Macaca fascicularis: one gene and its partners. The protein of the gene in region 1 interacts with the protein of each later gene in a pairwise test. Links are inferred from orthologs where the notes say so. Each region holds a gene or a part of one and is shown in the gene's direction. Other genes may lie near its edges.

Evidence for each region.
Region 2: the proteins of MAGEB4 (region 1) and USHBP1 interact in binary tests that used the Homo sapiens proteins (3 or more experiments, as listed by UniProt). The two-hybrid records come from large-scale screens. The link is inferred for Macaca fascicularis from reciprocal best matches to the Homo sapiens genes MAGEB4 and USHBP1.
Region 3: the proteins of MAGEB4 (region 1) and MED21 interact in binary tests that used the Homo sapiens proteins (3 or more experiments, as listed by UniProt). The two-hybrid records come from large-scale screens. The link is inferred for Macaca fascicularis from reciprocal best matches to the Homo sapiens genes MAGEB4 and MED21.
Region 4: the proteins of MAGEB4 (region 1) and CCDC136 interact in binary tests that used the Homo sapiens proteins (3 or more experiments, as listed by UniProt). The two-hybrid records come from large-scale screens. The link is inferred for Macaca fascicularis from reciprocal best matches to the Homo sapiens genes MAGEB4 and CCDC136.
Region 5: the proteins of MAGEB4 (region 1) and FERD3L interact in binary tests that used the Homo sapiens proteins (3 or more experiments, as listed by UniProt). The two-hybrid records come from large-scale screens. The link is inferred for Macaca fascicularis from reciprocal best matches to the Homo sapiens genes MAGEB4 and FERD3L.

What each region holds. Positions count from the first base shown.
Region 1 is NC_088395.1:30,249,326-30,254,031, forward strand, and holds MAGEB4 (melanoma-associated antigen B4), read left to right. Parts: upstream 1-1,499; 5' UTR 1,500-1,729; coding exon 1,730-2,773; 3' UTR 2,774-3,808; downstream 3,809-4,706.
Region 2 is NC_088393.1:17,576,054-17,580,151, reverse strand, and holds part of USHBP1 (harmonin-binding protein USHBP1), read left to right. Parts: intron 1-192; coding exon 193-366; intron 367-1,840; coding exon 1,841-2,090; intron 2,091-3,528; coding exon 3,529-3,750; intron 3,751-4,098.
Region 3 is NC_088385.1:29,779,776-29,783,873, forward strand, and holds part of MED21 (mediator of RNA polymerase II transcription subunit 21), read left to right. Parts: intron 1-1,385; coding exon 1,386-1,500; intron 1,501-4,098. UniProt on the Homo sapiens protein: Component of the Mediator complex, a coactivator involved in the regulated transcription of nearly all RNA polymerase II-dependent genes.
Region 4 is NC_088377.1:170,267,893-170,271,990, forward strand, and holds part of CCDC136 (coiled-coil domain-containing protein 136), read left to right. Parts: intron 1-1,614; coding exon 1,615-1,809; intron 1,810-2,306; coding exon 2,307-2,534; intron 2,535-3,962; coding exon 3,963-4,098. UniProt on the Homo sapiens protein: May play a role in acrosome formation in spermatogenesis and in fertilization.
Region 5 is NC_088377.1:111,066,253-111,071,095, forward strand, and holds FERD3L (fer3-like protein), read left to right. Parts: upstream 1-1,798; 5' UTR 1,799-1,822; coding exon 1,823-2,323; 3' UTR 2,324-4,144; downstream 4,145-4,843. UniProt on the Homo sapiens protein: Transcription factor that binds to the E-box and functions as inhibitor of transcription. DNA binding requires dimerization with an E protein. Inhibits transcription activation by ASCL1/MASH1 by sequestering E proteins.

The sequences.
Region 1 (4,706 bases):
AATCTCCCAAGCCAGGGTGATACATTTGTTACAATTGAGAATACATGGACACGTCATTATCACCCAATGCCCGATGTCTGTAGTTTAGGATTCATTCCTGATGCTGCACATTCTGTGGGTTTTAATATTTAAAAATGTAACATGACATATGTTTACCACCATAGCATCATCCAGAATTGTTTTACTGCCTTAAAAGTTCTCTGTGCCTGATCTATTTATCTCTCACTCTCCCCAACCCTTGGAAACCACTGAACTTTGTACTGTTTCCATACTTTTGCCTTTTCCAGAATGTCATATAGATGGAATTATGCAATGTATAGACTTTTCAAATTGGCTTCTTTCACTCTGTGATATGTATCTAAGTTTCATCCATGTCTCTTTGTGGCGTGATAGTTCATTCCCTTTTAGTGCTGAATAATACTTTATTCTATTAATTTACCCACTCTCCTTCTGAAGGACATATTGGTTGCTTCCCAATTTGAGCAATTATGAATAAAGCTACTATAAACGTTTGTGTGCAGGGTTTTTTTTTTTTTTTTTTTTTTTTGTGGGCATACTGTTTTCAACTCATTTGGCTAAATAACAAGGAGCACACTTGCTGGATCATATGATAAGAGTATGCATAGCTTTGTAAGAAACTTACAAACTGTCTTCCAAAGTGGCTGTACCATTTTGCATGTCCACCAGCAATGACAGTGTGCTCCTGTTGCTCCACATCCTCATCCGTATTTGGGGTTATCAGTGTTTTTGATTTTGACCATTCTTATAGGTATGTAGTGGTATCACATTATTGTTTTAATTTGCAAGTCTCTAATGACCTGTGATGTTGACCATCATTTCATGTATGTATTGCCTTCCATATATATTATTTGTTGAGGTGCCTGCTTAGATCTTTTGCCCATTTTTCATAGGGTTGGTCAGTTCTTATTGTTCAGTTTTAAGAAATGTTTGTATGTTTTGGTTAACAGTCCCTTATAAGATATGTCTTTTGAAAATAATTTTTTCCCAACCTGGGAGTTATCTTATTCTCTTTGTGGTATCCTTAGCAGAGCAGAAGTTTTAATTTAGCAAAGTCCAGGTAATCAATTTTTTTTTCTTAGATGCCCATCACATTTTATATCAGAACTAGAAAAGGTGAAATTCTTGTTCCGAAGTCGCAGTTATCAGTCAGCAGAAGAGACAGTCCACAACCTTGCATGGAGTCCAGATGAGGATCTTGAGTGCAAATCTGGGACCTAAAGAGAGAGTACTAAATGCTTCTAGGCAGGGGTGGTGGGTTGAGGGGCCCCTGGACTTCGTTCATTTGGGTCCCAGAAAACTAAAGAGTCAATTTCACAACACCAATAGAGAGAGGCTCAGGCCCTGCCAAGAGCTGACATGATAATTTTAAAGGTAATCAGAGTGGATCCTCTCCAAGCTTGAACACAGAGATCCCAACTGCGAGGCTTGTTGTCACCCAGTCAGCCCCAGGCAGGGTTGGCAAGCTGCAGCCTAAGGCACATTGTAACTTCCTCAGCTGAGTTCTCAGGGGACAGAATGACTAAGAACAATAGCCCAGTGAATACTTAGAGCAGTGTTCTCAAGGAATCCTGCAGAGGCGGCTTCTGAAAAGCCAAGGTAGTATCTGCCTGCTGAAGGTGTTCTCAGGATTTCATTCACTCTTCTCCAGGAACCACATCACCTGCCCTTCTGCCTACACTCCTGCCTGCTGTGCCTAACCACAGCCATCATGCCTCGGGGTCAGAAGAGTAAGCTTCGTGCCCGTGAGAAACGCCAGCGGACCCGTGCTCAGACCCAGGATCTCAAGGTTGGTCAGGCTACTGCAGCAGAGAAAGAAGAGTCTCCTTCCTCTTCCTCATCTGTTTTGGGGGATACTCCCTCCAGCTCCCTTGCTTTGGGCATTCCCCAGAAGCCTCAGAGAGAGCCACGCACCACCCCTGCTGCTGCAGCTATGTCAGGCACTGGACCTGATGAAGGTGAAGAGAGCCAAGATGAGGAAAATGCAAGTTCCTCCCAGGCCTCAACATCCACTGAGAGATCACTCAAAGATCCTCTAACCAGGAAGACGAAGATGTTGGTGCAGTTCCTGCTGTACAAGTATAAAATGAAAGAGCCCACTACAAAGGCAGAAATGCTGAAGATCATCAGCAAAAAGTACAAGGAGCACTTCCCTGAGATCTTCAGGAAAGTCTCTCAGCGCACAGAGCTGGTCTTTGGCCTTGCCTTGAAGGAGGTCAACCCCACCACTCACTCCTACATCCTTGTCAGCATGCTAGGCCCCACCAATGATGGAAACCAGAGCAGTGCCTGGAGCCTTCCGAGAAACGGGCTTCTGATGCCTCTACTGAGTGTGATCTTCTTAAACGGCAACTGTGCCGGTGAAGAGGAAATCTGGGAATTCCTGAATATGTTGGGGATCTATGATGGAAAGAGGCACCTTATCTTTGGGGAACCCCGAAAGCTCATCACCCAAGATCTGGTGCAGGAAAAATATCTGGAATACCAACAGGTGCCCAACAGTGATCCCCCACGCTATCAATTCCTGTGGGGTCCAAGAGCTTATGCAGAAACCAGCAAGATGAAAGTCCTGGAGTTTTTGGCCAAGGTGAATGACACCACCCCCAATAACTTCCCACTCCTTTATGAAGAGGCTTTGAGAGATGAAGAAGAGAGAACCGGAGCCCGGCCCAGAGTTGCAGCCAGGCGTGGCACTACGGCCGTGACTAGTACGTATTCCAGGGCCACATCCAGCAGCTCTTCCCACCCCATGTGAGATCTAAGGCAAATTGTTCATTTTGTGGTTGAAAGACCTGTTGCTTTCTCTGTTCCTGTGATGCATGAATAACTTGTTGATTTATCTCTTTGTTGTATTTTCTAGTGATGTTTCTTAAAATAGAAAGTTTATTTAGATTCAGAATATAAGTTTAGAAATGGCATGCATCACACACTTATTGCTGTTTATCAGGTTGGTTTAGTAATAAGAATTTTGTTTTAGAAATACAAATAGAAAATCCTGAAATCATTTTTGTGATACAGAGCAAAATAACATGGCATGGGAGTAAGGTTATCCTTAGAAATTTATAATAACTTCACAGTAAAATAGGTAGAATCTGAAGATAGAAAGAGAAGAAAAGTAAAAGTTGCTTTATTCATGGTTTGTCTTACTCCGTTCAGTCTTTTTTTGTTCATAAATTTAAAAGTTACATACCTGGTTTGCTTAGATTATTCAAGAATGTGGAGGCCTGGGCCAAGGTCAATGACAGTGTCCCCATTGTCTTCCCTCCATTAAGAGAAGACTTGGAGAGATGAGGGAGAGAGAGCCAGAGATAGTGTTGCAACTGGGTCTGGCATGTTTCAGTGTGGTGTCCAGCAGTGTCTCCCACTCCTTGTGAAGTCTGAGGTATATTCTTTACTTTTGATTAACAAAACACTTAACCTTCTAATTAATGGAGGGCCAAAGGGGAGTTGGTGGGAACACTATATATAACATATTTGTATGTAAAATGATTTATCTTTTCTTTTTCCTGCTTTTCAGTGTCCTTTTTTTTAATTGTAGATTTATTTAGTTTCAGAATCTAAGTTTGTGAAAGGCATGAATCACTCATTTATTAAAATATAACAGGTTGAAGAGCGAGAATTTTTGCATTATGTAAAACAATTTAAAAATCTTTTAAGTCTTTTCCTGTGATCTAGAACAAGATAATATGGAATTGGAATATGAAATTTGTGAAAAGGAAATTACCTTGCAATAAAGTTGGTGGGACCATGAAGTAGAGAAAAAAAAAAGTAAAATGTGGTCAATTCTTGCTTTGTTTTGTTCTTTTTAGTTTTTCTTTGTAAAAGTGAAGTGTATGTACCCGGATTGGCTTAGCTTTTTCAGGAATGTGGGGGAAATTAAATAGCAATACATTTGACTTCCTGGTCACTTACACTTTAATCGTCCAAATATTAATTGAGCAGCTGTTCTTTGGAGGGCTCCTGGCTAGTACCGGATAAACTAAAAAACAAACAAACAAACAAACAACAAAAAACCCCCAATCCCTGCCCATAGAATTTTAGAATCCAACAGCAGCTATCATATAATGAAGGTGATGAGATACTCCCTAAGACCTAAAGACAGGTGAAAAGAGGGGATAAGAAAGAAGGTGGGGGTGTTTCCAGCAGTGGAATCTAGTGTAAATGTCCTAAGCAAGGTAATCGAGACTTTGGGAAACCGACCATACTGCAATAGGAGGTAATTTTATGTCCCGGCCTAGTGCCTAGATGGGGTGCACTGAGCAGGGGTCACACACTCAAATGGTGGATCTCAGACTTCAGAGATGGAGACTGGAATGAAAAATTGCCTTTAACAGTTACTTTGAGATTGCGGAAAAACCAGAGGGAATCTTTGCCTAGAAGCAGGGATTGAAAGTGGCCGGTGCTCTTGTCCCAGTGCAAGTGAAGTGAATCCAGTACACAAACTAGGTGTTTTATGCAAGTAGTCCCCAGAGTGTTTCTGAGAAATAAGGGTGATACTCCTTTAAGACTGGAAACTCATAAGCCACTGGGCTAATACTCTGCTATCAGCTGGGCAGCCAGAACCCATTCCATTAAAACGAATTTTTTTCCTTTCATGTGTTTTTGCAAATTCTAAGGGAGATCTAGATTTTTGATGGTGGTAAAATGAATGAAAATAAATGGTTTGGATGAAAGGCCAGAGTTGGTCT
Region 2 (4,098 bases), on another chromosome or scaffold:
ACCACCACACCTTGCTAATCTTTGTATTTTTAGTAGAGACGGGGTTTCACCACGTTGGTCAGGCTGGTCTCGAACTCCTGACCTCAGGTAATCCTCCCGCCTCAGCCTCCCAAAGTGCTAGGACTACAGGTGAGGGCCATTGCACCCAGCCAAGCTGAGTGTCCTGAAGCACTCAGAACCAGTGTCCCATAGTGAGCACTGTGAAGAGGCATACAGGGTTCTTCTTGCTCTGCGGGAGGCCAATTCAGAAGCAGGAGACGAAGCCCCCACGAGTGACCTGCAAGCAGCTGAAGAGGAAGCATGGAGGCTGCTGGCACAAGAGGAGGCCACCATGGATGCAGGGGCACGGCAGAATCCACAGCCAAGGTACCTCCCCGGAACCCTGGGAACTGGCCTGGTTGAGGAGTGGGGTCTTGACTGGGGATTGGGGCTCCCAGAACTCACCATGTTTGGGGGCTTGGTGTGGCTGTGTCCAGCAAGGTCGGTATGGAGCACACTGTAGTTGGTTGACATGAGGCTCAACTGCAGTTGGCCTGTTGCTACTTGACAAAGTTAGCATGGTGGTTGACAGATATTGCAGTTGGCGTGAAGATGGATAATGATGCCTACTGGTTAAAACTGGCACCCACAGCCGGGCACAGTGGCTCACGCCTGTAATCCCAGCACTTTAGGAGGCCAAGGCAGGCAGATCACTTGAGCTCAGTAGTTCAAGACCAGCCCTTGTAACATGGCAAAAGTCCTTTTCTACCAAAACTACAAATAAATTAGCCGGGTGTGCCCATGTAGTCCCAGCTACTTGGGAGGCTGAGGTGGGAGGAAGCCTTGAGTCTGGGAGGTGGAGGCTGCAGTGAGCTGAGATTGCACCACTGCACTCCAGCCTGGGTGACAGAGTGAGACCCTGGTTTTTTTTTTTTTTTTTTTTTTTTTTTTTGAGACGGAGTCTGGCTCTGTCGCCCAGGCTGGAGTGCAGTGGCTGGATCTCAGCTCACTGCAAGCTCCGCCTCCCGGGTTTGCGCCATTCTCCTGCCTCAGCCTCCCGAGTAGCTGGGACTACAGGCGCCCGCCACCTCGCCCGGCTATTTTTTTGTATTTTTTAGTAGAGACAGGGTTTCACCGTGTTAGCCAGGATGGTCTCGATCTCCTGACCTCGTGATCTGCCCGTCTCGGCCTCCCAAAGTGCTGGGATTACAGGCTTGAGCCACCGCGCCTGGCCAAGACCCTGGTTTTTGTTTTGTTTTGAGACGAATTTTCACTCTTGTCACCCAGGCTGGAGTCCAATAGTCTGATCTCGGCTCACTGCAACCTCCGCCTCCCAGGTTCAAGCGATTCTCCTGCCTCAGCCTCCCGAGTAGGTGGGATTACAGGCTCCCACTATCATGCCTGGCTAATTTTGAATTTTCAGTAGAGATGGGGTTTCTCCATATTGGTCAGGCTGGTCTCGAACTCCCGACCTCAGGTGATCCACTTGCCTCTGCCTCCCAAAGTGCTGGGATTACAGGCGTGAGGCACTGTGCCCAGCCCCAGCTAATTATTTTATAAAGACGGATTCTCACTCTGTTGCCTATGCTGCTCTCAAACTTCTGGCTTCAAGCAATCCTCCCACCTCAGCCTCCCAAAGTGCTGGGGTTACAGGCGTGCATCACCACACCTGACCAAAATGTGGTCTTGATGGAAGATGGTGCCTAGTGGGGTACGTTGGTGTGACAGGGGCCACCACAGATGGCAAAGACTCCGTCGTGGCCAGTGAGATGGAAGATGATGGACCCTACCAGGATTGGCATGAAGTTAACCCACCTATGCCTGCCGGTGTTAACATAGGCACATCTTCTGTTTTCTGTAGCCCTGAGGGCAGCAGTGTGGATAAGCCCACACCACAGGAAGTGGCTTTCCAGCTCCGAAGCTATGTCCAGCGTCTCCAGGACCGCCGTTCTCTAGTGAAGATTCTCTCAGAGCCTGGCCCCACCTTGGCATCCATGCCCACTGTGCCCCGTGCAGAAGCCATGGTACAGGCCATTCTGGGGACCCAGTCTGGCCCAGCTCTTCCCCGACTGGAGAAGACACAAATTCAGCAGGACCTGGTGGCCACAAGGGTACAAATGGGCTGTGGTCACTGTCAGTTTTTCTTGATGGGACAAAATCCTTTACTGAGGTTGGGGGATCAAGGAGCAAAGGAGAATTCTCCTGGGCTGGGTGCAGGCATTGTGAAGGAGAATTGGAACTGGGGTTTTGAGGGATTAATAGGAGTTTGTCTTCTGGGGTTCATTGTCTCAATAGACTACAAATCTGGCTCTCCAAAATGCCCTTCGTATGGGAAGAGATGGGAGCAAAGAACACAGTCTTGGGTTTGTAGCTTGGCATGAAAACCTTGAGGTTCTGAAGCTGGAGAAACTCCAGAAGCTTTGACAGAACTGCTCTATGACCTATGTAAGCTACTTGCCCTCTAGGAAATGCCATTTCTACAGCTGTGGTTTTTTTTTTTTTTTTTGAGACGGAGTCTCGCTCTGTCGCCCGGGCTGGAGTGCAGTGGCCGGATCTCAGCTCACTGCAAGTTCCGCCTCCCGGGTTCACGCCATTCTCCTGCCTCAGCCTCCCGAGTAGCTGGGACTACAGTAGACCGCCACCTTGCCCGGCTACTTTTTGTTTTGTTTTGTTTTGTTTTGTTTTTTTTTTTTTTTTGTATTTTTTAGTAGAGACGGGGTTTCACCGTGTTAGCCAGGATGGTCTCGATCTCCTGACCTTGTGATCCCCCCATCTCGGCCTCCCAAAGTGCTGGGATTACAGGCTTGAGCCACCGCGCCTGGCCACAGCTGTGGTTTTTATGGGAGGAAGATATTTCCACCTCACAAAAACATGGTGATCCTGGCGAACCCGGTGAAACCCCGTCTCTACTAAAAAATACAAAAAACTAGCCGGGCGAGGTGGCAGGCGCCTGTAGTCCCAGCTACTCGGGAGGCTGAGGCAGGAGAATGGCATAAACCCGGGAGGCAGAGCTTGCAGTGAGCTGAGATCCGGCCACTGCACTCCAGCCTGGGTGACAGAGCGAGATCCCGTCTCACCAAAAAAAAAAAAAAAAAAAAAAAAAAAAAAAAGAACATGGTGAAGGTCCTAGTTTGTTTTTTGTTTTTTTTTTTTTTGAGACAGAGTCTTGCTCTCACCCAGGCTGAAGTGCTGTGGCGCTATCTCGGCTCACTGCAGCCTCTGCCCCCACCGGGTTCAAGTGATTCTCCTGCCTCAGCCTCCTGAGTAGCTGAGATTACAGTTGTGCACCACCACACCTGGCTATTTTTTGTATTTTCTGTGGAGACGGGGTTTCGCCATGTTGGCCAGGCTGGTCTCGAACTCCTGACCTCAGGTAATCCACCCACTTCGGCCTCCCAAAGTGCTAGGATTACAGGCATGAGCCACCGTGCCCAGCCAAAGGTCACAGTTTTTGTCTGAATAGGCCTCAGTGGGTGCCTCTTGGGGCCTCAGTTTCCCTGCAGTTGACGGTAGAAGCAGAAATTCTCTCCCCTCTCCTTGGTCCCGCAGGAGGCCCTGACGGACCTGATGCTTCGGCTGCAGCTGGTGCGGCGTGAGAAGCGGGGCCTAGAGCTGCGGGAGGCTGCCCTCCGAGCTCTGGGTCCAGCTCACGTGCTCCTGCTGGAGCAGCTGCGGTGGGAACGGGCGGAGCTTCGGACTGGTGGGGCAAACAGCAGTGGCGGACATAGCAGCGGAGGTGGCAGCAGTGGGGACGAGGAAGAGTGGTATCAGGTGAGCCGCCCTGCCTGAACCTGGTAGGGGTAGTAGCTTACTAACGAGAACATAGCCCTTGTCAATCACAGACCCCCCCTTTTTTTTTTTTTTTTTGAGACGGAGGTTTGCTCTTGTTGCCTAGGCTGGAATGCAATGTTGCTATCTCTGCTCACCGCAACCTACGCCTCCCAGGTTCAAGTGATTCTCCTGTCTCAGCCTCCTGAGTAGCTGGCATTACAGACACACACCACCACATCTAGCTAATTTTTGTATGTTTTGTAGAGATGCAGTTTCACCATGTTGGCCAGGCTGGTCTCGAACTCCTGGCCTCAAATGTTTCGCCTGCCTCCGCCTCCCAAAGTGCTG
Region 3 (4,098 bases), on another chromosome or scaffold:
TCCGCCCATCTGGGCCTCCCAAAGTGCTGGGATTACAGGCTTGAGCCACCGCGCCCGGCCTAAAAGTTTTTGAAGGATGGAACAGATAGACACTGTGTTGAATATTTTGTGTATTTCCTCTTCCTCACAACAATGCTGTAATAGGAGAATGTATCCAATTTAAAAATGAAAAATGCTACCTGGGTTAATAGAGCTGGGATCTACGTTTGTATAGCGTCTGAGCACTTATTGCTCCATTACTATTATTAAAACCTGGGCAAAGCCATTTAGTCATAAGTGACTTTATGACTAGTTAGGTAAATATGAAGGAGTAGTGGAAAACAAGTCAGTAGAGTTGACTTAGATTGTTGAAAGCTTCAAAACAGCCTGAGTTGGAGGTTTACCTTGAAGACAGTGGTGGAGTAAGCTCAAATGTTTTTATCAGGGTAAAATAAATAACCTGGTGAACTGGCAAACAACAAGAAGGCTATTGTAATAATTCTGGTGTGAGATAATTGGTTGAACTAAGCAACAATAATGATAGAAGGAAAAGAGGAAGATTTGTAGTATTAGCATAATTTGAAGATCAAAGGAAAGCAAGAATCTGAAGTTAGACTGGTTGACTAGGAGACTTTCAATACAAATTAAATATTAAACAGAGGAAACAGTTGCCTTTGAGTTCTGTCATTGAAACAATGGCAGAGAAACCCAAAGGAAATGCTTATTAGAAATAGGAGGTTTGAGAGGTCAAGACTAGGTGAGAGAAATTGGTGGGGAGGATAGGTGTATTTAATTTGGAGATGGTAAGGAATTGATATTCTCCATCTTTAAAAGTACTTACGGAGTACTTTTAGAGTACAAGAGTTTAAAAATTGAGTCTTGAACAGATACATTTCTGATTACTCAAGGTGCTTTTCTGAGCAGCCTTTTCCCCACTATTTTTTTTACACTTATAACTACTCCAGTCTCAGAAAAGGAATCATATACTTTGTGCATGAGTAATAAATTTTTATTAAACGTGATGCCATACTTAGATATTTACAAGTCAAATTTGCTCTTTTCCATCACTGTCCGCAAAAAGTCTTTACTTGTGGCTTACAATAAGTATTGGCCAGTGTTCTCTTATCATTTTACTATAACAAGAAAAGAAAGATTGTTTTGTATTTCAACTGTTCCAACTAGATTTATATCAAATTTTACTTCACCTAGATTGATACCAAACTTAGTTTCTTTGCAGAATTAAAACATGTAATCAACTGGCTTATTTTATCAACAATTACTCCTTTCTGTTTTATTCCCTTGCTCAGAGATTAGCATTACAGAAACTTATTGTTGTTGCTGTTACCAATAAAGTCCTTAAAACTGATAAGTCCTTTCTAACCTCGACATGTTTTCTTTGGCCTAAGCTTGCAGATCAGTTTTGTAATGCCATTGGAGTATTGCAGCAATGTGGTCCTCCTGCCTCTTTCAGTAATATTCAGACAGCAATTAACAAAGACCAGCCTGCTAACCCTACAGAAGGTAAACAGATTTTCTTAGCTTCTCTTATTTTGACTCTCACATTTTTTGTTATCCTTTAAAATTAGATTTCTTGAGAAATTCAGCTTATTTTGTTTCTAAAAATATTGTTACTTGAGGATATTGCAAGTTTTGTTTGTTGTAAAAAACTTAGTCAATTCACCTAACATCTCATAATTCTGGTTCATGTCAGATAATAGATTGTTACTCCTTTAGAGGAGAATTTGTATTAATTTAGCTGAGTGAGGGACCTTAACAAGGAAGGCATCCCATTTATAAATTTTTTTTTTTTTTTCTAAATCTTTTTTTTTTTTAAATTTATTTATTATTATTATACTTTAAGTTGTAGGGTACATGTGCATAACGTGCAGGTTTGTTACATATGTATACTTGTGCCATGTTGGTGTGCTGCACCCATCAACTCGTCATTTACATCAGGTATAACTCCCAATGCAATCCCTCCCCCCTTCCCCCTCCCCATGATAGGCCCCGGTGTGTGATGTTCCCCTTCCTGAGTCCAAGTGATCTCATTGTTCAGTTCCCACCTATGAGTGAGAACATGCGGTGTTTGGTTTTCTGTTCTTGTGATAGTTTGCTAAGAATGATGGTTTCCAGCTGCATCCATGTCCCTACAAAGGACACAAACTCATCCTTTTTGATGGCTGCATAGTATTCCATGGTGTATATGTGCCACATTTTCTTAATCCAATCTGTCACTGATGGACATTTGGGTTGATTCCAAGTCTTTGCTATTGTGAATAGTGCTGCAATAAACATACGTGTGCATGTGTCTTTATAGCAGCATAATTTATAATCCTTTGGGTATATACCCAGTAATGGGATGGCTAGGTCATATGGTACATCTAGTTCTAGATCCTTGAGGAATCGCCATACTGTTTTCCATAATGGTTGAACTAGTTTACAATCCCACCAACAGTGTAAAAGTGTTCCTATTTCTCCACATCCTCTCCAGCACCTGTTGTTTCGTGACTTTTTAATGATCGCCATTCTAACTGGTGTGAGATGGTATCTCATTGTGGTTTTGATTTGCATTTCTCTGATGGCCAGTGATGATGAGCATTTTTTCATGTGTCTGTTGGCTGTATGAATGTCTTCTTTTGAGAAATGTCTGTTCATATCCTTTGCCCACTTTTTGATGGGGTTGTTTGTTTTTTTCTTGTAAATTTGTTTGAGTTCTTTGTAGGTTCTGGATATGAGCCCTTTGTCAGATGAGTAGATTGCAAAAATTTTCTCCCATTCTGTAGGTTGCCTGTTCACTCTGATGGTAGTTTCTTTTGCTGTGCAGAAGCTCTTTAGTTTAATGAGATACCATTTGTCAATTTTGGCTTTTGTTGCCGTTGCTTTTGGTGTTTTAGACATGAAGTCTTTCCCCATGGCTATGTCCTGAATGGTACTACCTAGGTTTTCCTCTAGGATTTTTATGGTATTAGGTCTAACATTTAAGTCTCTAATCCATCTTGAATTAATTTTTGTATAAGGAGTAAGGAAAGGATCCAGTTTCAGCTTTCTACTTATGGCTAGCCAATTTTCCCAGCACCATTTATTAAATAGGGAATCCTTTCCCCATTTCTTGTTTCTCTCAGGTTTGTCAAAGATCAGATGGCTGTAGATGTGTGGTATTATTTCTGAGGACTCTGTTCTGTTCCATTGGTCTATATCTCTGTTTGGTACCAGTACCATGCTGTTTTGGTTACTGTAGCCTTGTAGTATAGTTTGAAGTCAGGTAGCGTGATGCCTCCAGCTTTGTTCTTTTGACTTAGGATTGTCTTGGAGATGCGGGCTCTTTTTTGGTTCCATATGAACTTTAAAGCAGTTTTTTCCAATTCTGTGAAGAAACTCATTGGTAGCTTGATGGGGATGGCATTGAATCTATAAATTACCTTGGGCAGTATGGCCATTTTCACGATATTGATTCTTCCTATCCATGAGCATGGTATGTTCTTCCATTTGTTTGTGTCCTCTTTGATTTCACTGAGCAGTGGTTTGTAGTTCCTGTTGAAGAGGTCCTTTACATCCCTTGTAAGTTGGATTCCTAGGTATTTGATTCTCTTTGAAGCAATTGTGAATGGAAGTTCATTCCTGATTTGGCTCTCTGTTTGTCTGTTACTGGTGTATAAGAATGCTTGTGATTTTTGCACATTAATTTTGTATCCTGAGACTTTGCTGAAGTTGCTTATCAGCTTAAGGAGATTTTGGGCTGAGACAATGGGGTTTTCTAAATATACAATCATGTCATCTGCAAACAGGGACAATTTGACTTCTTCTTTTCCTAACTGAATACCCTTGATTTCTTTCTCTTGCCTAATTGCCCTAGCCAGAACTTCCAACACTATGTTGAATAGGAGTGGTGAGAGAGGGCATCCCTGTCTTGTGCCAGTTGTCAAAGGGAATTTTTCCAGTTTTTGCCCATTCAGTATGATATTGGCTGTGGGTTTGTCATAAATAGCTCTTATTATTTTGAGGTACGTTCCATCAATACCGAATTTATTGAGCGTTTTTAGCATGAAGGGCTGTTGAATTTTGTCAAAAGCCTTTTCTGCATCTATTGAGATAATCATGTGGTTCTTGTCTTTGGTTCTG
Region 4 (4,098 bases), on another chromosome or scaffold:
TGCTAACTACAGAACCGTTTGCCCTGACCTTGACTTTGAGCCGGAGCCACAGCTCAGTAGGATCAATACCTTTGGATCCCAGTCTGAACCCCTGAAGGTTTTACACATGATTCCATGTATGTAGACAATGGAATATAGAGTGCTGACTAGGCAAGAGAAGGACCTAGGCTCTTTCAGGATTTATTCTGTGACTTTGAAGTAGTTAAATTCTTTGTTGTTGTTGTTGTTGTTGAAACAGAGTCTCACTCTGTCACCCAGGCTGGAGTGCAGTGACACGATCTCAGCTCACTGCAGCCTCTGCCTCCTGGTTTCAAGCGATTTTCCTGTCTCAGCCTCCCGAGTAGCTGGGACTACAGGCACATGCCACCGCGCCTGGCTAATTTTTGTATTTTTAGTTGAGACGAGGTTTCACCATGTTGGTCAGGCTGGTCTCGAACTCCTGACCTCAGGTAATCCACCTGCCTCGGCCTCCCAAGCTTCGATGACAGGCATGAGCTGCCATGCCCTGCCAGTAATTAAATTGTTGAAGGTTGAATTGTGCCCTCTTTAAATGGAAGAGAATTCTACTCTTATCTCACTTCCTTTTAGTAGTAAATCCTGATAGTGATAAATAAGGGCTTATTCATTTTTTTTCTTTTCCATAGTGTATAAAATGCAAGCCGTTATCATTTATCCTGTTGAGCACTTTCAGCTCCTGATTACTGATGGGAAATGGAAAGGTGTTGAAGCATGTTGGAGAAAAGGCCCAAGAGTCTCTAAAGATGGTGGAGCTGGTCACATTCTGCCAGAAACTCAGTAGTTCCTGTCCCTGGGGAAAGGCCTTCAGGAGACAGAGGACTGGGAAGGTTATTTGGGCTACCTCAACAGTCTCTTTGCCTTTCTATATCCAGGCTCACGTTTCCTCCTTTTTCCACTTCTACTCAATTTAGGAGCCCAGGGGATCCGTGACTTGCTCGTCACCTCTTCCCCTAATGGGAAAAACGATGGGAAAGGAGAAGCATGCTGGCAGACAGCACCTGTTTTTTTCTCTAGCCATAAAACAGCATTGAGATCTGTCTGATACTGGAAGATTTGGGTTTTTGGAAATGGGATGATTTAGACTTCTCAATCCAAATTCAGCAATAGCGCATACTTTCTAAAGATATAAAGAGAGAATTAGGAAAGCAAAAATGGGAAAAATTAGGGTGAAATTAGGTCCTTATTGGTAAGGAGTGTAATTGCATTCAAAAACAACTGGGGTTAATGAGAATAACAGGAGCTAAGAGTTCCCAGCAGGGTGGGAATATGGTGTATACACCAAAGGAAAGGGCCAGAGAAGAGGAAAGGGGCATCGATAGCATTCGCCATCAAACTGCCCCCAGAAAGGAATGGTAGAAGTTTAGAGCAAGGCCAGCCACCAGTCTAGAGCAACCTGCTCTGAAAGACCAGCCTGTGGGGGATCCCCAATCGGTATCTAAACAGCCAGGGTGCATTGTGGCTTGGGGTGACCAGTCCAAAGTGACTGCACAGGGAGAGAATCACAAGAGGCAGGAGAGCGCGGAAGTGCTCTGTTAGCCACCCAGGAAGCTTACCTTACAGAGTAACCACCCCCTCCGCACCCGCCCCCACCCACAGTGTGACACACTGCTGTCCAGACTGACAGAATTGCAGGAAAAGTACAAGGCCAGCCAGAAGGAGATGGGGCAGCTGCAGATGGAGCAGTGTGAGCTCCTGGAGGACCAGAGGAGGATGCAGGAGGAGCAGGGCCAGCTGCAGGAAGAGCTGCACAGGCTCACACTGCCACTGCCCAAGAGTGGCCTCTTACTCAAGGTAACTCCGCCAGAGGCAGCTGCTAACTGGGGAAGCTGCTCTGAGAAGCTTCCCTGTGTGACTAGGGAAAAATAGAAGGGTGGAGGTTGAACTTTTTCTTCTTCTTACCAATGACTCCTTACTTTCTCACCACTCTCCCCAAACCAAAAAGCTCCATAGAGCCAATTAGAGTTTTTCTTATAAGGGCTTTAAATCTTAAAATACCTTTTATACTCTGGAATCTGTGCAGCAGTTTATATTTAGTTATTTAGTCCATCTGGAGAAAATGCACCTGAAACCACTTTGTAAATGACAAAATATATCCCAACGTAAGAAACCATTGCTACTTTTAGCTGGTCTCCATAGAAAGACTCCCCCTGTCCCCAGATGGGCTCTGTGAAGCCAGCCCTGAGATTCTTCAGGGAATTGTTCACAGCAGGGATGAGGCACCAAGGAGGCATCGGACTTTCTGTGTAACCACCACAATCCCTTGCCTCCTTCCTTCTACTCCGCCTCAGAGTCAGGAGCTACTCACCAAGTTAGAAGACCTGTGTGAGCTGCAGCTGCTCTACCAAGGCATGCAGGAGGAACAGAAGAAGCTGATACAGAACCAGGACTGTGTATTAAAAGAACAATTAGAGATCCACGAAGAGCTGCGACGTTTCAAAGAGTCTCATTTCCAGGAAGTGCTGGAGAATCCCGATGATTCCAAATTGGCTAAGTCCTCAAAATATAATCGAAACAAGGTAACCATAGCAAGAGGTAGGGAGACAGTTCTCCTGAGCACAGCAGCATGACAGGGAGAGTGGGCACTGCTGAAGGGTCAGAGTTGGGAAGGCCTGTTTGGCCAGGGGTAAGGATAAGGCTAAAGCCCTGCCCTTCACCACCTGTGACCTCTTTCAGGCTCCATTAAGAGGTGGCTTTTAGATACAGCCTGAGGACCTCACCTAGATGCCATTATCCTTTATCATATTGATATTCACAGTGCCCAGTTGAAGCACTGTGAGCACTCAGGGCAGAGCTGGGATGACCCAAAATCTGTCATCGGATCATTTGACTCATTCCTAGTAAGATGTATAGTTGGATTCCTTTGGACTGACTCTAAACATGTCATCTTTTTCTTGAGTGGAAAAGTACGGTTCTCAGTTATCAAAATCGTTCACCTTTGGTGTTATCTGTGAGGCAAATTTGGGCCCTTTCATTTCCAAGAGAAGAATTCCTAGCACATGGGGTTCTTAGTACTGACCACACTATCTTCATTGGAACTTTGGTGGCAATAACAGAGCAAGGTCACAGGGGTTAGACCAGAAAATCGATGCCTTTCAAGTACCAGCAAGGGGTCATACCGATGAGGTGACACAGGTGGAGATCACCGTACAATTCTATTCAGGGTTGGGGGCTAAAGTTGTTCTGAGGTCTCAGCGTGGGTGAGGAGGGGCAGGTAGACAGTTTCGGTTTAGGCCGAATCTATTCATTCAGATCTTATTCTGAACAAGGAGAACCAGGGAGTAGCAGAAGTCAACACTGTGAGGCTGGATCATATTCCAGGGGCAGCAGATGTCCAGGCTGCAGGCCTGGGTAACACAGCTGGGAACCAGGTATAAAATATTTCCTTAACTGATCAGATCTCATCCTGGACATCAGCGCCAAGAAGCCAGGCCCAGAGAGCCTGGGAAACATGCCCAGAGGCCAGATTCAGAATTGGGGCAGGAGATACAGGAACTAATAGTGAGACTTTGATTCCAGTTCTTCATATTGCCGCGTTCAAGGCCAGGCTGATTTTACAACTAGGGGTGGGCAGGGAGACTGAGCCTGAAGGTCAGGATAACAGGTATACCTGACTGAGAAGAGGGTGTGATGGGGAGCCAAGGTGTTCTGGAAACCCACTCGGGACTGCTCCAGGGAGACAGGGATGTACCAAAGTGCAGAAACCAGCTGAAATGGGAGCCGGGAAATTATGGAGTATCTGCCCTGGGGATATTTTCCCAAATGAGCAAGAAACTGATACATGCCAGTTACCTGTAGTTTAAGTCAGAGACATAAGCCGGGGTGAGGTGGAAATGTAGGCATGCCATTCTCTAAGGTGTGCTCTCAGACATCTGTACCAGGAAAGGTGCAGCTGGAAGGACTGAAGTGTCACAATAATGATAATGTCTCCCCACCCCTGCCCCCAGCAATCCAAGCTGCTCATGGAGCAGATGCAGGCCCTGCAGGTGCTGTATGAGGCCAGTCAGGCGGAGCAGGAGCTCTTGCAGCAAGAGCAAGGGAGGCTCCTAGAGGAGCGGAAGAGACTGCAGGCAGACTTGCAGC
Region 5 (4,843 bases), on another chromosome or scaffold:
TCTATTCTCATTAACATCTTCCAGGATCACAAATTTCAATTATTCTCTGCCTGAGTTATCACAATGCAAACTGGAGAATGAACAGTAAACACAAGCAAAAGAAGATAAAATCTCTTAGAAGATCCAGAGACACCAGACACAAATGGGTTAAAAGAAGAAGAATTCAAGGTTATACTGTTCTGATTACACAGAGAGAGGCTAGGAAGAAGAAAATGAATTGAGATTACCTGTTAGAAACAGGAGGTTTCTGGTTTCTGGGAGCTGTCCAATGTACTGAGTGAACCATCTTAGCCACAACTTACCCCTTAATACGGACTGATGTCCTGGGCGGTTCTCTTTTGAACCGAGATGTTTCCACATTCATCTTTTTAGGCTATTTCTTCTAATCTACCTTTAAAATTATCTTCTAATCTGTCATTTTGACCCAATGGGTCTTTTAAATAAATCTTTACACATTACTGAATAATTAAGTAAATATAGTTATTGACAAACAAAGAAAAAGGACCCTTTTGTTAAAATATTAGGGATACTAGAGAAAATATAAAATGAGTAAACTCTTATTTTTATTATGCCAAATTTAAAATCTCTTTCTTATCTCAACGATCTAACGATAATCAAAAAGCTCCTTTAAATATAATTCAATAAGTCATTGTTTCTGCTCTTAAATCTTACTGTAGGACAATACAAATCAATGAGGAAAATAAGCCAGATGGAAGTGTTAGGTTTTTTTCTTTGTTCAGGAACAAATACTCGATCCGCAATTTAAAAGTCCGAAGACTCCTCAGCAGAGGGTGAACTGATTGACTCCTTGGCTTATCAAGGGCAAATCGCATTTCTGAAAAGAGCTTGAAGTGGTTTTGTTTGTGGGGAGAGTTTGCTTTGTCCCCCACACTGAAAGGTATACAGCAAAGCCCGAGCATAGAAAATGTCCTGAGCTTAAATTTGTCATTTTATTGCCGTCATAACGTTTCCTCTTGGAATAAAATCCTCTATTTTATATGAGCAGGAGGTAAAGGTAGGGAAAGGAAAGTCAAGTATCTCAATTGTTAGGCTGATTGCATCCAAACAGACTTTAGAAGCAAGGGTTTGTAACGTGGCAGGAGAGCTGTTTGCGATGCCCTGGAAAGAAAAAGAAAGCCGGTTCCAACAGCGACTCTGGGGAATGCACTCTCGGCCCCCCTGCCATGCTTACTTAAGCTAATGGAAGGTCTTGCCTTTCAGCAGCCGCTGCACTGGGATACCAGACAAACAGCTCCCCTCGATCCCAGGCAGGCAGGGCCCCTCTTCAGGACATCATTAAAAGCACATGCACTTGCTCCACATCCATTGGCAGATGGTGGCAAGATTCAAGACTCCTATCCTGAAGTCAAGGAGAAGCCATCGCCGTGGAAAACATCCTCGCTTTGAAAATCCAACACGAAATTAAAGAACTACACGAGATAAGGAGCCCGGAGAACATTAGTTGGCTGCAGGGGTGAAGACAGACACAAAAAGCACAGCAGGTAAGAGCTGGGGGTTGTTGCCAACAAGGAACTGTCCCGGGTGGCGCAGAGAAAAGGATCTCAGAACTGGAGGCCTGTCCCTTTGAGTCTTCCATGCGTGCTCAAGCTTGTCATCTTCCATAAGCTTCGAGAGAAGGGACGTTGTCAGAGCATTTCTTATCGGTGCGACTAATCCTGTTATCAGCTCGGTTATAAATATTTAATGTTCCCTGGCCCTTCGGTGATGGTGCCCCATCAGATTCAAGGCTGTTAAGAATCTCCACCAGCAGCCTCGCCCCTCCCTGCGGAAAACCGATGAGAGGCAGGGCCAAGCCGAAGCGATGGCGGCCTATCCAGAGAGCTGCGTGGACGCTACGGTGCTGGACTTCGTCGCAGACCTGTCCCTGGCCTCCCCGGGACGCCCTCTCCTCTGCGACTTCGCACCCGGGGTCTCCTTTGGGGATCCAGCCCTTCCGCTCCGAGAAGGAAGACCCAGGAGGATGGCGCGGTTTGAAGAGGGGGACCCAGAAGAAGAGGAGTGCGAAGTGGACCAGGGGGACGGAGAAGAGGAGGAGGAAGAGGAGCGCGAGAGAGGCGTCTCCCTATTAGGCCGCCCCAAGAGGAAAAGGGTGATCACCTACGCCCAGCGCCAGGCCGCCAACATCCGCGAAAGGAAGCGAATGTTCAACCTCAACGAGGCCTTTGACCAGCTGCGGAGGAAGGTGCCCACGTTTGCTTACGAGAAAAGGCTGTCCCGGATCGAGACCCTCCGCCTGGCCATCGTCTACATCTCCTTCATGACCGAGCTCTTGGAGAGCTGTGAGAAGAAGGAAAGCGGCTGAACCGGGTGGGGAGAGTCTGCCCTTCCTGGTCTGGTAGTGCTGGGGTGTGTCAGGACCGGGTACTGGGTGAGGCTAAAGGGCCAAGAGGGACGCCCCAAGACAGAACGTCTGGCCTTCTGGAGGTCGGTTTCGAGATTGTAAGATCCCTAAAGTCCCCGAGCAGAGTGGCTGTTGTAGAGTTCATATCTATGCGACCGCCCTAAGTGAAGTCGGGGTCAGGGGCGAGCGGGGATGTCAGAGCGCGAGAGGATGAGTCCGGGCCGTCCAGGCTGCTCCTAAGAGCTTCCGTGGGCTAGGTGGGTGGGAAGAGAACCCTCCTCGCAAATGGCAGACTTTGGAGCTTCTATAGAATCTAACCTCTCCTCTTTACTTTTTTTTTTTTTCATAGAGATAATAAAGTAGAAATTCTTACTTTTTAAAAAGCCTCAAGAGTCGGTGGTGCGCCATCCCCAGCAGGCGCTCCAGCAGGCGCCTGCAAGGAGGCTCTGGAGCAGACGCCGCGAGGGTGCGGGGATGCGAGCTTTGCTGGTAGCCAGAGGGTTCTGTCTGGTCCTCCGATGCTTCTCCAGGAACTGAGGGAAGGAAACATGGAAGGCAGAGCAGTCGAGGGGAACTGCTGACAAAGTGGGACCTCTGAGAAGGAACACCCTTGCTGTCTTCCATTTCCTCTCCCTCCCCTCCCTTCCTCTCTCCCGCGCGCGAGCCCTCTCTCTTCCTTTCTCCCTCTCCCTCTTCACCTGGTTGATTCCAGAGGGACCATGGCTCCTTGTCCCAGGGCCACAGTGGTGTTCATTCAGTGCCTTAGCCAGAGTGCAAATCTACGCTTTGCATCTTAAGTGCAGCGTCAGCTTCCCTGTTCCAGTGCCTTCAGGCCGCAGGCCAGAGTAAGGGGCGAGTGCACTTGGGTCACTCCTGGGTCGCAGGGGGCCTTGGGTGCCCTGCAGCTTCGCCACCAGTCAGCGTTTCCAACTGTCCCCCCGGCCAGGGGTTGGAGTATGTGAAGGTGCCTGGATCTTTCTAGGAGCAGGGCCGCCTGAGCGCTCACTTTAACGTTTTTAGCTGTAGGGAGGAAAGATAGCTTTCACTCTAATGGCTTCTAGAGACTACCCGACAAAAAGTCCAAAGAAGAGATGCCTTCTGACGCCTTGCAAAACGACTGCCATGCAGACGAGGTTGAAGCGGGTCCATGCTGAGAGGCCGCCTCCAGTTTGGACCCGTGCCATACCAGGATTCTTCCTTCTAGGTGACGTGCTAGTACCAGAACTGGGGTATTTCAGAAAGGAGTGGGTACCTGAGGAGAGGAACCCGATTTAATAATGCCCACGTAAACATAAATTCAGTAATTCTAAAGGATAATCCCCAGTGATTCCAACACTTTATTTCGCCCCTCATTAGGCACAGGAATAGGCGGGGGCCTGTGCGAACACACAATTCTCTGAATTATGTTTTCAGAAAGAGAATTCATTTCATTAATAAGTAACATATACTCATCCTAGAAATTTTGGAACACAAAATTTCAAAAAAGAAAAAAATCGAATCACTCCACATTACCATACTGTTAGCATTTTCATCTATTTATTTCCAGTATTTTTTTCCCTGTACAGTTATAAATTCAATACATTTAACTAATTTGAGATACCTTGGGATACTGATATTTTTCCACTTGACATTATAGAAGGTGCAATGTTTTTCCTTAACTTTCAATATTATCCAAATGTGATTTTGATTACCATATCTTATTGTCATATCCATGTATCACAACACCATCCCTTTACAGATAGATAACTATTTCCTTTAAAAAAAAATAAATGATGCTGCTAAGAGCATTCTTGTAAATGTCTTCTCTGTCTATTATTATTTCCTAATATTTGATACCTAGAAGTGAAATTTCTGGATTCAAGTTTGTGGATACAAATGGCCAGATTCCCTTCTTGGTGGGTTCTGTCAGTTCACTCTCCCACCCTCTAGTATTGCAGGAATTTGCCTGTTTCCCAGCCCATTCATTAGTACTTTGAATATTTAAAACTTCTCTTAGTTTTCCTTTCAATAGGGCCTGGCTTAGTTCTCAAATGAGCCCCCATTCCCAAGATTTTTATTATTATTATTTTTATTGTGTCTTTCTATCAAGAATTTTTCGAACTCTACCACAAGAACATCAGAATAAACAGCTAAATGAAAAAAATACACAAACAGCTAACACTAAACAACAAAACCCCATAGTGTTGTTTTTTCTTATTCTTCTACCAATTCAAGTTCTCCTAGAAATTAAACATCATTCTTTTTTTAAAAAAAATCATCTGAAAGTGTTGAATAAGTAAAAAGAAAAAAAAAGTAATTCCAATCTAGGAATTCTTAATATTTTGTTAAAGGAACCAGTTTTGAAAACCAGAAATAAAGCAAAATTGTGTAGACCAGGGACCATCAACATTACTAAGTCCTGAGGAGTAAGCACAGCCACCCGTTTTCCTTAGTCTTCTCCCTCATATTCTAACACATTTTGTTCCTAGTAAGCAAATAACA